Oryctolagus cuniculus: one gene and its partners. The protein of the gene in region 1 interacts with the protein of each later gene in a biochemical or structural test. Links are inferred from orthologs where the notes say so. Each region holds a gene or a part of one and is shown in the gene's direction. Other genes may lie near its edges.

Region 1 (3,746 bases):
CGCGTCCTGGGGGGAAGGGATGGGATTCCAAGAGAAGCTTACTTCTTGGGATCCGCGGACAGGTTTCCCGGCGGCATCTCCCACGCCAGTGACACGCACAGGGACGTTCCCATACTTCTTGGGATCCGCGGACAGGTTTCCCGGCGGCATCTCCCACGCCAGTGACACGCACAGGGACGTTCCCATACTTCTTGGGATCCGCGGACAGGTTTCCCGGCGGCATCTCCCACGCCAGTGACACGCACAGGGACGTTCCCATAGCCTGGCTCTCAGTGGCCCCAAACTGGAAGCAATGAATGTCACCTCGGCAGGATGAGCAGAGGACCCGAGTGGGGTCACAGGGAGCCAACTGCAAGCAGTGGCAGGTGCGGAGCAGATCCTCCACGCAGGAGGACGCTGAGCAGGACGCAGACTTCACACCGAGGGGTGGCAGGGTGTCCTGCCGGCAGTAGTCACTTGACACAACTGTTTGTTAATTGGGCAAGTCTTTATGCACTTTCTTATTTGTTCCATTATAAATGCGAGCAAGCAAGCGATTGGCTAACCAGTTTGGCTAACTTCTGGTCACATCCAATTCTGGAACCAGAGAAGACTTTTTAAAGGGCTTGTGTAAAACTCTCCCGTGCTTTGCTGCAAAGGAGAACAAGGCCAGAGATGGCCTTTGTCTTCGACAAAGTCCAGTATTGTACTCGCTCTGGTCTCCGTAGGTCAACGCACTGCCAGGCACTGTCCTGGATTCCGGAGCTCAGGACCTCACTGGTAGCACAAACTGCCCCCGTGGTCGCGTCCAAGTGACCACAGAAGGAAGCGGCCGGGAAGACCACGACGGCCGCGTGGCGACAGTGCGAAGCCTGCTAAGACGGCCCCAGCGGAATGAAAGCCCCGACGAATCCGCAACCCGGTGCCCCGCGTGCTGCGGAGCGGCCCACACCCGCGGCGAGGAGCACGCGCGCACCGCCCACGCGGTTACTTCCTGGGCCCCGCGGCCGCTCTACGACGCCGTCGCCCGGGGACGCCGGGCGTCACTCCCGCGGCTGGGTCCTCGCCACCCACGCGGGACACTGGCCTGGCCAGGGCTTTCTGGGCACTAGGAGGGGACTCCTCCGCGTCTGTGTCTACCTTTCAAAATAAAAAGAAATGTCAAAGAGAAAACAAGTTTAGACTAGAAAGAACTCATCCTAAAATAAAAAGACCCCGAGGCAAATGTTAACTTGCCAAGGTTACACCTCTAGTTGGTTTAAAAAACTTTTTTCAATTATTAACTTTCCTTACTTCCAGAAAGCACCAATTAGAAAAGGCTATGGAGAGGAGGCCCCGCCCCGGAACTCCGACGAGCTCCGCCCCTCATTTCCCTTGAGCCCAGCGCCCAGGAGAAACCGGAAGGATCCCGCGCCCACACTTACCATGGCCGCGCCTTCAGCGCGTGCAGCCTGCTGACGCCGCGGACAGAACTGGCGGAAGTGACATTATCAGCGCGCGCCTGGAGTTCGGTGGGGTCGGGTAGGGTTGCTGTGGCGGGGCCTGAGCAGCCTGCGGCTTAACTTCGCTTCCGCAGGCCCTTGATGATCTCTGCCGGCACCCAGGTACCTGGCCCTTTAACTCTCTCTCTTTTTCGAGGGCGCTGGCGGAGGCGGCCGCTGCAGCGAGGCCCAGGGGCGGTGGCGGGCGGAGACGCGGAATGGGCGCGCAGGCCCCGCGGGGACCGAGGTTCCTCTCGCTCGAGCCGCCGCCGCTCGGGCCTGTACCGGCCGTTCGGCCGCCGCTCCATCCCGGTGCGCGGCTGTGCTGTGGGTGGAAAACGGCTTCTCCCCGCACGAGGGTGGGGCAGACCCGGAGCCTGCGCCGCCTGGCTGGCACCCTCCGCCCATCCTCTCTGGCCGGTGCCCGCTGGCTTCGCTACCCGCAGGGGTCGGTTTTATTTTACAGTCGCGCGTGACACTTGCTAACGATTTGTGGAAGTCCGAGCTTTAGGCGCGGTGGACGTCCGAGGCAGACGCGCACCTCTGTCCTTAGACGGCCAGGGAGGCCCCTCGGGGAGAGGATCCCGCCTGGCTGCGTGTGCGGACGCGGGAGTAGACAGAGTTCATTGGATGACCTCAGGGGACACGCAGCCTGGTCTTGGGTTTCCGGAAGATGAAGACCTTGCACGCGAGCCTCTGTTGAAGGGAGAGTCAGTGCAGTAAGGCGCCTAACGCAGTTTCAGTATGCAGGGAGGGGAAGACGGTGAGCGCGTGGCCGGGAGTGAGAGGAGCGCTCGGAACAGGGGTCTGGAACAGCCTCGTCGCAGTTGGGTGCTGTGATCCTGCCCTCATCTCTTGCCGCAGCCGTGACAGTGACCCCGAAACTGGGCTTGCGGCCCTCGGCTTCACTGCCCCGATGTATCCCCACGCGTGCCAAGCTGGGGTGCTGGTGCTGCGCCTGCTGCCCGTGTGACCCCAAGTTGCTTGCTGCTGCGCGCTGCTCTCTCCATCCTTGTCTCTCGTTTAATTTCTCTGTTGCCAGAGCCGCTGATTCATGATTTCCTACTCACCTTGCCAGACCCAGGTTGCACGGTCCTTGCTTTGTGAAAACAGGCCCTCTCTGCGAGCACTCGCCTGTTAGTCCCGTCTTCTGTGGCGTACGTGCGTTCGTTCACCCATGAGCCACTACTAAAGGGCTCTCCAAGAAGTTCATGGAAAGCGTGTATCGTGAAAAATTATACACAGATTTCAAAATCGTTTGGACCAGACTAAACACATCTGTGATCCATTCTCTGTGTGTTCTTTGAAGTGCTGTTGTATGGGCAAGACCTGGTGCTGGGTACAGGTTACAGGCGTGCGTGCTGGTTTCTGAGATGAACTTCGCGGGTATCTGATTTTGTTACTAGTAGAGCAGTCGTTACGCAGTTGCACGTGGAACTACTTGATGCCGACAGTGTCCTCTTCGGCTGTACATCAACAGCACTTCTGTTACTACAGCAACGTCTAAAGAAAGTACAGTTTTCTTACATCTTTGGTACATTTCTTTTCAGAAGTTGAGCTTTTTGTGTGTGTCTGTTTTTCAGTGATGAGCATATAGGATAGACAGCTTTTGGGGCCCTTTGCCCTCTCAGAGTGATGATTCTTCCGTTCATCCAGCATGCATCTGAGTGCTTACTCTACCAGCACAACTTGAGGTGCACATGGGTCTTTGAACAACTTGACCCCTGAGACCTATGAGCGCTATGTTGGAATGAAAACCAATAATGGTAGCTAACATTGTTCTGTGTTTGTACTTGATGTTTTATTTTAACTCAGCCAGCCCACCCCCATGGTGCTCAGTCAGTTCTCACAGCCAGCACGTTGGAGTGAACTGTGCTGAAAAGTTTTTCACTAGTCGCTTGGTTCTTTCATCAGGAAGTAGTTTCAGGAGATGGTAGAAATGATTGAGAAAAGCCAGATATAGGCACAGTTTGTGGCTAATGTATTCTAAAGAGGTAAGATTGCTGTATTTATAAAAATATCTTATTTATCATTGTGTCTGCACAGCTTCTTTCACGCCAAACTATATTGGGTACAACTCAGTATTTATTGAGCTTTATGTCCAAGACATTACAGAGGCTATAAAATTGAGCAGCATATTTATACACCTGAACTTGGCCTTAGCACTGTGCTGTGTGTACCATGCCTCATAAATATTATGCCTTGATAGCACATTTTCCTTGGGAATTATCTAGGTGTGTTCCTCCAAAAGCTTTTTTTTTTTCATTTAAGATTTATTATATTTAT
Region 2 (3,663 bases), about 16 Mb from region 1:
TCTTACTCAACACCTGTCAACCTGCACTGGGTCACTAAAATACGGCAACAGAGACCTTCCCTCTGCCCCTTTCCTCCACCGTTCTCACTTCCAGTACATTGTCTTTCTTAAGACTTGTAGAAAAACTAATATATTTTTTAAAATGTCTTTTAAAGAATGTATTACATAAGCCGCAGTGGACTTTATAAGCTATTAAAGTTTCAGTACTTAAAAAAATTCATTAGTATTTTTGAGCCCATTTTCTACTTTAGTATGCTTATCTCCATGCTCAAAACAAACACAAACAAAAAGGCCACCACTTTATATCACTGCAGGAAATGCCAGGCATTTTAGGGGAGGATCATACGGCAGAGTTTAAAAGCCACAGAGGAGCTAAACGTGTGCACATCGCCGAGACCCTAATTAATCAGTGACGAGAGGAGCGGAGCAGGCGGTGGAGCCCATGGGTGAATAAGAAAGTAACGAAAAGGCCTGCAGAAGATATGGCCTCGCCCTTGCTTTCAGTTGTAGCCAATTTTGGGTGAACAAAATTTATGTCCTGAATGAATGCTTTATTAGTTTTTTCCCTACTTGATCCGTCTGTCTAGACTTCAAGCTTTATTTATGAGTAAAGAAAGAGTTGGCTGAATTATGTAAAAAATTGGGGGTAGATTAACGCATAACTCATCCCTTGTTAAACATCTATCTTCACGGAAGTGCTAGGAAAGTTACAGTTAGGCCTGGCTTCGAGAAAGGAAGGCCACCCCCTCCTCTATTTTTTTTTTTTTTTAAAGGAGACTTTCCAATCCTAGTCAAATGGTGGTGCTAGTTCTTTATTTTTGAGTTACTGCATTTCCTAATTTCATGGTCATAACAGCTTCAGAGCAGCGTCTACCAAAACTGAAAATGCAGGCTCCATGCACAGAAGCTCTTTCACAGGCTTGAAAGGTTCAGGCTCCTTTCTCCTGCCCCTTTCTGTAGCATAAGAAGACAGTCTCTGAATGACATTCTTCTCAAGTAGGTACTCCTATTTCTTCTTTCTTTATATTTTTCCTTGTGCTGTAATGTGCTACTGTTTACAAGCAGGCTGGAACCCCAGAGCTTTCCTCTCATGTGAAAAGCTGTTCATTTTTCTCATACCACCCCAGAATATTTTGCAAAGTTGCTGGCAACCATTGCTGCAATGTTAAAAATATGAACTCTAAACTTGGTACAGTGGAAGTTCACTTTTGGAGTAATATTCAGCTGAGTCAGAGGGCAGCACCATTACCCTTTGCTCAGTACAGCACTGACTAGCTTCCTGCCTGCCCTAGATATCCTATATTTGTTGGATCCAGCTCTTGCTACGAGATACTGTATGGCTGAACTGTGTCGGAATTTTGAAACTTCATCTCTGGACTGATGGTGCACCAGCATGAACTCCCTACCTGTTTTCTTAATCTTTGGTGCCGTAACTTATGTGAGTCTGAACTAAGCAATCGGAATGACCCTTTACTTGTTTCCTGAAGGCAGTCAGGTTTTCTACAAAGCTCCACAATCTAGCAATAACGCGAATGAGACAGCCTGTCTTGAAATCACCCTAAAATTTTAGGAAAGGGTTGTTGTTGTTGTTGTTGTTGTTGTTGTTGAATATTGCTGTCTTGGTTTTCTTGGAGGTGAAAAGAAAACTACTGATGACTTTTGGAGTAGGATGGTGTGTAATGACCCCACCACATAGAGTGTGCTATTCAAGTAAGGATGTGGGAGTCCCGAAAGACAGGGCAGGCTACTTTCGTTTTGGTGAGAGGAATGCCATATGTTTCAGGAACCTTAGTTTAAGTTGCAAATTTCATGTTTGGTCAAGAAGGAAATCATATTTTCTTTTCACAGACATGCCCGTAGATACTAAGATGATTAAAAAATATTTTAAAAAATTCCTTAATTTGGGTTGGGCCCTCTCAGGACTTTAGATCACCACACTGATTCCTGTTCAAAGGTGCGGTTTTATGCACCTCTGAGAATAAGTTTGCCGAACAACTGTAAGCAGAAGGTTGCTGGGAGACTCCTCTGGTTTTGAATGTGATTTCTATATGTACAAATTCATGTCAAGTGATTTAGGAATTCCAGGTAGAAGCATTTAAACAGAATTAAAATGTACAGAGAGCCAGATGAGATAAAGTTGAGCGAGAATGTCTGAGATCTAGAGTTTGAGAGCCCATTTCAGTTTCACAAAATTCCTTCCTATTTCTCAAAAGCAAATGTTTGCTATGATTTTTGTTACTGTCCTGTGAAGACTGCCCACTGGGCCTGGATATGTATGGATATAGTACTGTAGAGGTTGGATACAATACTGGAGAGGTGGTTAGATTTCCGAGGAAATTAGGAATAAATATGTATGCATCAGAGATACCATGTGCAGGGAAAATTCTAGATATGAGCACACAAAGGTTATATTTGTTGGCAGGATATTTTTCTCAGTTGCAAGTACTTGTATTTTTTGTGACAGTCAAGGAAAGGGGTAAAGTTCATGTGTTTTACACTTTCAGCAAAGAGAAAGTTAAACAACTCTCTGATTTCAGTGAACTGTTTCTCATCCAGTTAAGGATTTAGAGCTAACCAGATCCTATTCCTTTCCCCAAACACTCTACACCCTGTGTGCTGTAAGTGTTACACCAGGTACCTGCTGACCATTTTTGCTTGGTTGTCCATGGGTCATCTCTGAGTATTTTTCTGTTTTCGTTTAGTGCTGTTGGTCACAGCAGCTGCTGTGTAAAGGGCCAGGTGGTTGGGCTTTAGTTTCTTTTGAATAGAGAATAGCTTGGTTCCATGGTTGCATATTAGATACAAGGCAAAATAGGCAGGACGGAGAGTGACCAGCTCTGGGGAGACCATCATGTTGTTTATAAGAACTTACAGCACACGCTTCATCCATGGCACCTGAGCTGTGGTTCTGTTCTACCACCTTTAGTAGGGCTGGGTCTCCATCACTATCCCCTAAGAAAGAATGTGAAGCCCGCCTCACCCCTGCACAGTGTCTAATAAAGTGCTCTTTTAAAAGACAAGTGCTTCACTGTTCGCTTTTGCTGCGATGATAGTGTTGGTCGTGCGTTTGCTTTCTGGGCACTGTCTCAGTAGATTTCTTCTGAATCCTTCTCGGTGGACCACAATATAGTGAAACCTTGCATGTCAGTGGATTTTCTGGATCTTACCAAGCAGTGAAAATTTTGTTTTTCTTTTTGAATGTTTGTGACTATTTTGGAGGACAAATGGGGTTGCCCTATTCATTCATTCCTCAAAATATTTTGCCGCATACTCTCACTACTTTCTAGGTGTGCAACTTATTTCACCTCTGACCTCAAATTTCTCATCTGCAAAGTACGGATACTAACAGTAGCTACTAGATATAATCATGTGGAATAAATGAGATTAAGCCACTCCTTAAAAGTCTTTTTATCTTCAAGTGTTTGAAATTCAATATGAGGAAGGCGTTTCACACCACTTCTGGTACTCAGAAAATGTTGACTGAGTACATGAATAAGAACTTAAGAACTCCAGGTCAGCACCACAAGTGCTAGGATTTTAAGTCCGTGTACCATAGTGGGTGGGAACTTGACCTGAAAAGTTAAGGGCAGTCACTCCAGCTAGCTATGCATGGCACCTGTTGAAATGCTGCTGCTTGTTAATGGGTATAGGTTGGAGGAGGAA
Region 3 (3,746 bases), on another chromosome or scaffold:
TTAAAAGCAAAAATGAAATCACGTTTCCTTCGAAATTGGCAGCATCAAGTGTTCAAGACAGGCGCCGAGGAGCCACGGCCAGGAAAACCGCCCCGGCTCCCGCGGCCCCCTCCCCGAAAGGCGCTTCTGCCTCGCGCCACCCGAGACCCAGACACCCGGGCGCGCGGCTCCCGCACACGCGCGGCTGGCGGTCACCTTGGGGCCCGATGAGTGTTGTGCGGACGTTTCTGTTGGTTTCATTCACACACATTCTACACCAAAAAAGACCTGGCGGTTTCTTTGCCCACCGGCCCCCGGAGAGGAGAGGTTCAGAGTTGGGGGAGAATGGCCCTCGTGGGTGCAAACCGCCCAGTGACACGCGGCTCCCTGCAGTCACAGAACCCCAGGAACGGGGCTGTTTGCTGGCAAACTTGAGCCCAGCTCCAAGGAGAGACCGAGGCCCAGGTTCCCGGACCAGGAGGCAAAGTTTCCAAGATTGAAAGGGGGGAGAGAATGAGGGTCTTTTTAGATAAGAAATCAGCGTGTCTTTTTTTTTTTCCCCTGGGATAAATACCCCTGCCTTTAAAGAAAAGAGAGAGGGGGACTATGTTTAAAAAAAAAGATGACCTCAACTCTAATTAGTGCCGTGGAGAGGGGGCCAGGGAAGCTGCCATTCTGGAGAGAAAGACGTAGTGGCAGAGCAGGAAGGGGGTGGGAACGGGGAGGGGTGGGAAGAGGCGCTGGGAGGGGAGCGCAGAGGGGCCGAGCAGTCCCCCGGGAACGCGGAGTGCGAGGCCCGGGATGTGGGGGGCAGGCGCGCAGAGGCCGCCGGGCTCCCGCCGACCGAAGCTTCCCGGCACCCCTCCCCCGGCCCGGCCCTTCCCTGCGCGCCCCCCGGCCCCGCGCGCTGCGGGGCGAGTCCTAGGAGCGCGGCCCAATGGATCGCCCCGGGCCCGCCCCTCGCGCGCTGATTGGCCGCGGCGGCGCCGGCCTCGCCTTATTAGCAAGTTCTCTGGGGAGCGGCGGCCGGAGCCGGCCTCGGCGGGTGCGCCCGGGAACTCGCCCTGCGCGGCGGCGGAGGCGGCGGGCAGCCAGGCCCAGCTCGCCGGGGCTGGCCTTCTGGGGAGGGGCGGGACGCGCGCGCGGGAGGGCTCGCCCGGCCAGGGCCCCGGGCGCTCGCAGAGGCCGGCCGCGCTCCAGCTCGCCCGAAGCCCATGCCCGGCGGCTGGCCCGTGCTGCGGCTGGAGGGGGGGCCCGGCTCTGCATGGCCCCGGCTGCTGACATGACTTCTTTGCCACTCGGTGTCAAAGTGGAGGACCCAGCCTTCGGCAAGCCGGCGGGAGCAGGCGCGGGCCAGGCCCCCAGCGCCGCTGCGGCCACGGCGGCCGCCATGGGCGCGGACGAGGAGGGGGCCAAGCCCAAAGTGTCCCCTTCGCTGCTGCCCTTCAGCGTGGAGGCGCTCATGGCCGACCACAGGAAGCCCGGGGCCAAGGAGAGCGTCCTGGCGGCCTCCGAGGGCGCGCCGGCGGCGGGAGGCTCGGCGCAACCGCTGGGCGCCCGGCCCGGGGGACTCGGCGCTCCGGACGCCCCCTCCTCGCCGCGGCCGCTGGGCCATTTCTCGGTGGGGGGACTCCTGAAGCTGCCAGAAGATGCGCTCGTCAAAGCCGAGAGCCCCGAAAAGCCCGAGAGGACCCCGTGGATGCAGAGCGCCCGCTTCTCCCCGCCCCCGGCCAGTGAGTAGCCAGCGCCCGGGCGGCTGCGGGGGTGGGGGTGGGGGAGGGGCCCAGCGGGGGTGCAGGACCCGAGGGCGCCAGGCCGCGCGCCGGCGCCTGCTCGTCTCCGGCGTCTCATACCTGCCGCCGGTACCTGGAGCCAGTGCCGCGGGGCCCCGGAGAGGGCAGGCTGGGGTTTGCGCCTCTCTGCGCCCCCACCCTGGAAGAGCGCGCGCGGCCTGGCGGAGACGCAGCTCGCCGTCCATTTCGGCGGGCCCCTCGTCTCGGCCCCGCGATGCCGCGAGGGGGGAGGTCCCTTGCCGGACCCCGGGGCGCGGACAGCCCCTCTTGCTGCCCCTTCTAAGCCCCCCCCGCCTGACCTGCATCGGAGGGGCGCGGGCATCTTTTCCGGGCGCCAAGTTTCACTTTCTCCCAGAGTCCTGGCCCCTGGCCCCTAGTGTAAAGGACCCTCGCCTAGGGGCTCCTGGCTCTTCTCAAACTCCCGCCAAGGCCGAAGCGGGGCCCGCGGTTCTTTGGGTGCAGGGGCTGACTTAGGGGGAGGGGGCGCTCCGCTTTCAGGGCAGGGGGCGGGGCGGGGAAAGCGCCCCCTCCGCTCTTCCCCGAGGTTCCCGGGCGTCTGGGACTGGGTGTCCGAACGGGCTGCAGCCGCGTGCGGGGGCCGCTTCCAGGGCCCCGCAGACTCGCGCCGAGATATTTCAGGAGTCCGGAAAATGCCCGAGTTTTCCTCGCTTCCTCCGATTATTTGGCGCCGCATAATAGCGGCCCGGATTGAATGGCGCGGCGCTGAGAACGATTTCTGTCTGGGGACTGCGTGTCTTTGAAAGGCCGGCCCCTCCCCGAGCCTCATGGCCGGAGACCGCGGCTGTAGTTTGCCCTGGACAGCACTGCTCCCCGAGGGCGGCCGCGCGGGGAGCGGGTCCAGGCGAGTCCCAGTCCCCCAGTGCCGGGAGGCGAGGGTGTTTGAACTCGAGATTTCGTTTTACCCACATCCTGGTGTGCCCGGGAGGCCGAAGGATCATCATCTTATTTGTTCTGTGTTGTGATGCTAAAAACAATGTTACATTCAAAACCCGCATGGTGAAACAGCCCGAGTCCGAATTCACTTTTCAAGAGGAAACCTGTGGCCGAGGCAAAGCGGCCTTGGGATTCAGTGAGGGCCTCAGGCCCCCAGGGTCGCCTGTCCACCTTGTCCCAGGAGTGATTTGGTCCACTCGTGTCCAGCAGCCCCGCTGAGCCGATCCAGCCCCTGGCCTGCGGCTAGGCCTCCAGCCGGGTGCTCACTCTGTCCATCCTTGAGGGTTGTTTTGAAGCCAAAAGAAAAAGACAGTTGGACACCGCTGCTCTCTGTGCACTGAGCCACAGGTCCAGCCGAAGCCATGGCCCACGCCAGCCCACGACGGACGGCGGGTGGCTGAAGCCCGAGGCCAGACGCTGGCGGTGGGAGCGGCAAGAGCCCCGTCTCCCCTCCCGATGACACTGTTTGGGAGGACTGACCACAACGGGGGCTCCGGTGATGGCCACCTTCCTGCCCCACTCCTGGGACTGCCCCAGACCCCCTGATCCTGGGAAATGAGCTGGGGCTTGGACATCGGCAGTCTCTGAGCGGCTGAGCGCGCGGGGGCGCGCACAGAGAACCCTGTGGCCAGCAAGGAAGAGCTGAACGCTGAACGTGGCCTTGGGCTCGCGCCACCGCGGTGAACTCCCTGCGCGCGGGCTCGTGGGGCAGGCCGGCCAGCCAGGGCCTACCTGAGGGGCAGCGCCACCAGCCCCAGCCGCGGTGGAGCCTAGGACGCGGGTCTAGTTCTGCCCACCTGACACTTTCGGTTTGCAAAAAGTAGACCCAAACCGCTGGCTGGCGGGGCTGCGGTGGGATTTTGAGAATATTTTCCTGGGGCTGCCCACCAAGGCTCTAGGTAAACAGCAGCAGCGGGCGGCGTCGGTGTGGCCGCTCCTGCCTTGGGGGGCGCGGACGCCGCTCCCTCTTAACCTGCTGCCTTTTGTCCCCCTTAGGGCGGCTGAGCCCCCCGGCCTGCA

Evidence for each region.
Region 2: the proteins of TBP (region 1) and ESR1 form a complex in vitro, tested with the Homo sapiens proteins (2 studies listed by BioGRID). The link is inferred for Oryctolagus cuniculus from reciprocal best matches to the Homo sapiens genes TBP and ESR1.
Region 3: the proteins of TBP (region 1) and MSX1 form a complex in vitro, tested with the Homo sapiens proteins (2 studies listed by BioGRID). The link is inferred for Oryctolagus cuniculus from reciprocal best matches to the Homo sapiens genes TBP and MSX1.

Annotation. Positions count from the first base shown.
Region 1 is NC_091436.1:55,511-59,256, reverse strand, and holds the start of TBP (TATA-box-binding protein), read left to right. Parts: upstream 1-1,372; 5' UTR 1,373-1,583; intron 1,584-3,746. UniProt on the Homo sapiens protein: The TFIID basal transcription factor complex plays a major role in the initiation of RNA polymerase II (Pol II)-dependent transcription.
Region 2 is NC_091436.1:16,248,109-16,251,771, reverse strand, and holds the start of ESR1 (estrogen receptor), read left to right. Parts: upstream 1-861; 5' UTR 862-996; exon of another isoform or gene 997-1,000; intron 1,001-1,262; exon of another isoform or gene 1,263-1,438; intron 1,439-3,663.
Region 3 is NC_091433.1:4,416,384-4,420,129, reverse strand, and holds the start of MSX1 (homeobox protein MSX-1), read left to right. Parts: upstream 1-998; 5' UTR 999-1,243; coding exon 1,244-1,712; intron 1,713-3,722; coding exon 3,723-3,746. UniProt on the Homo sapiens protein: Acts as a transcriptional repressor. Capable of transcription autoinactivation.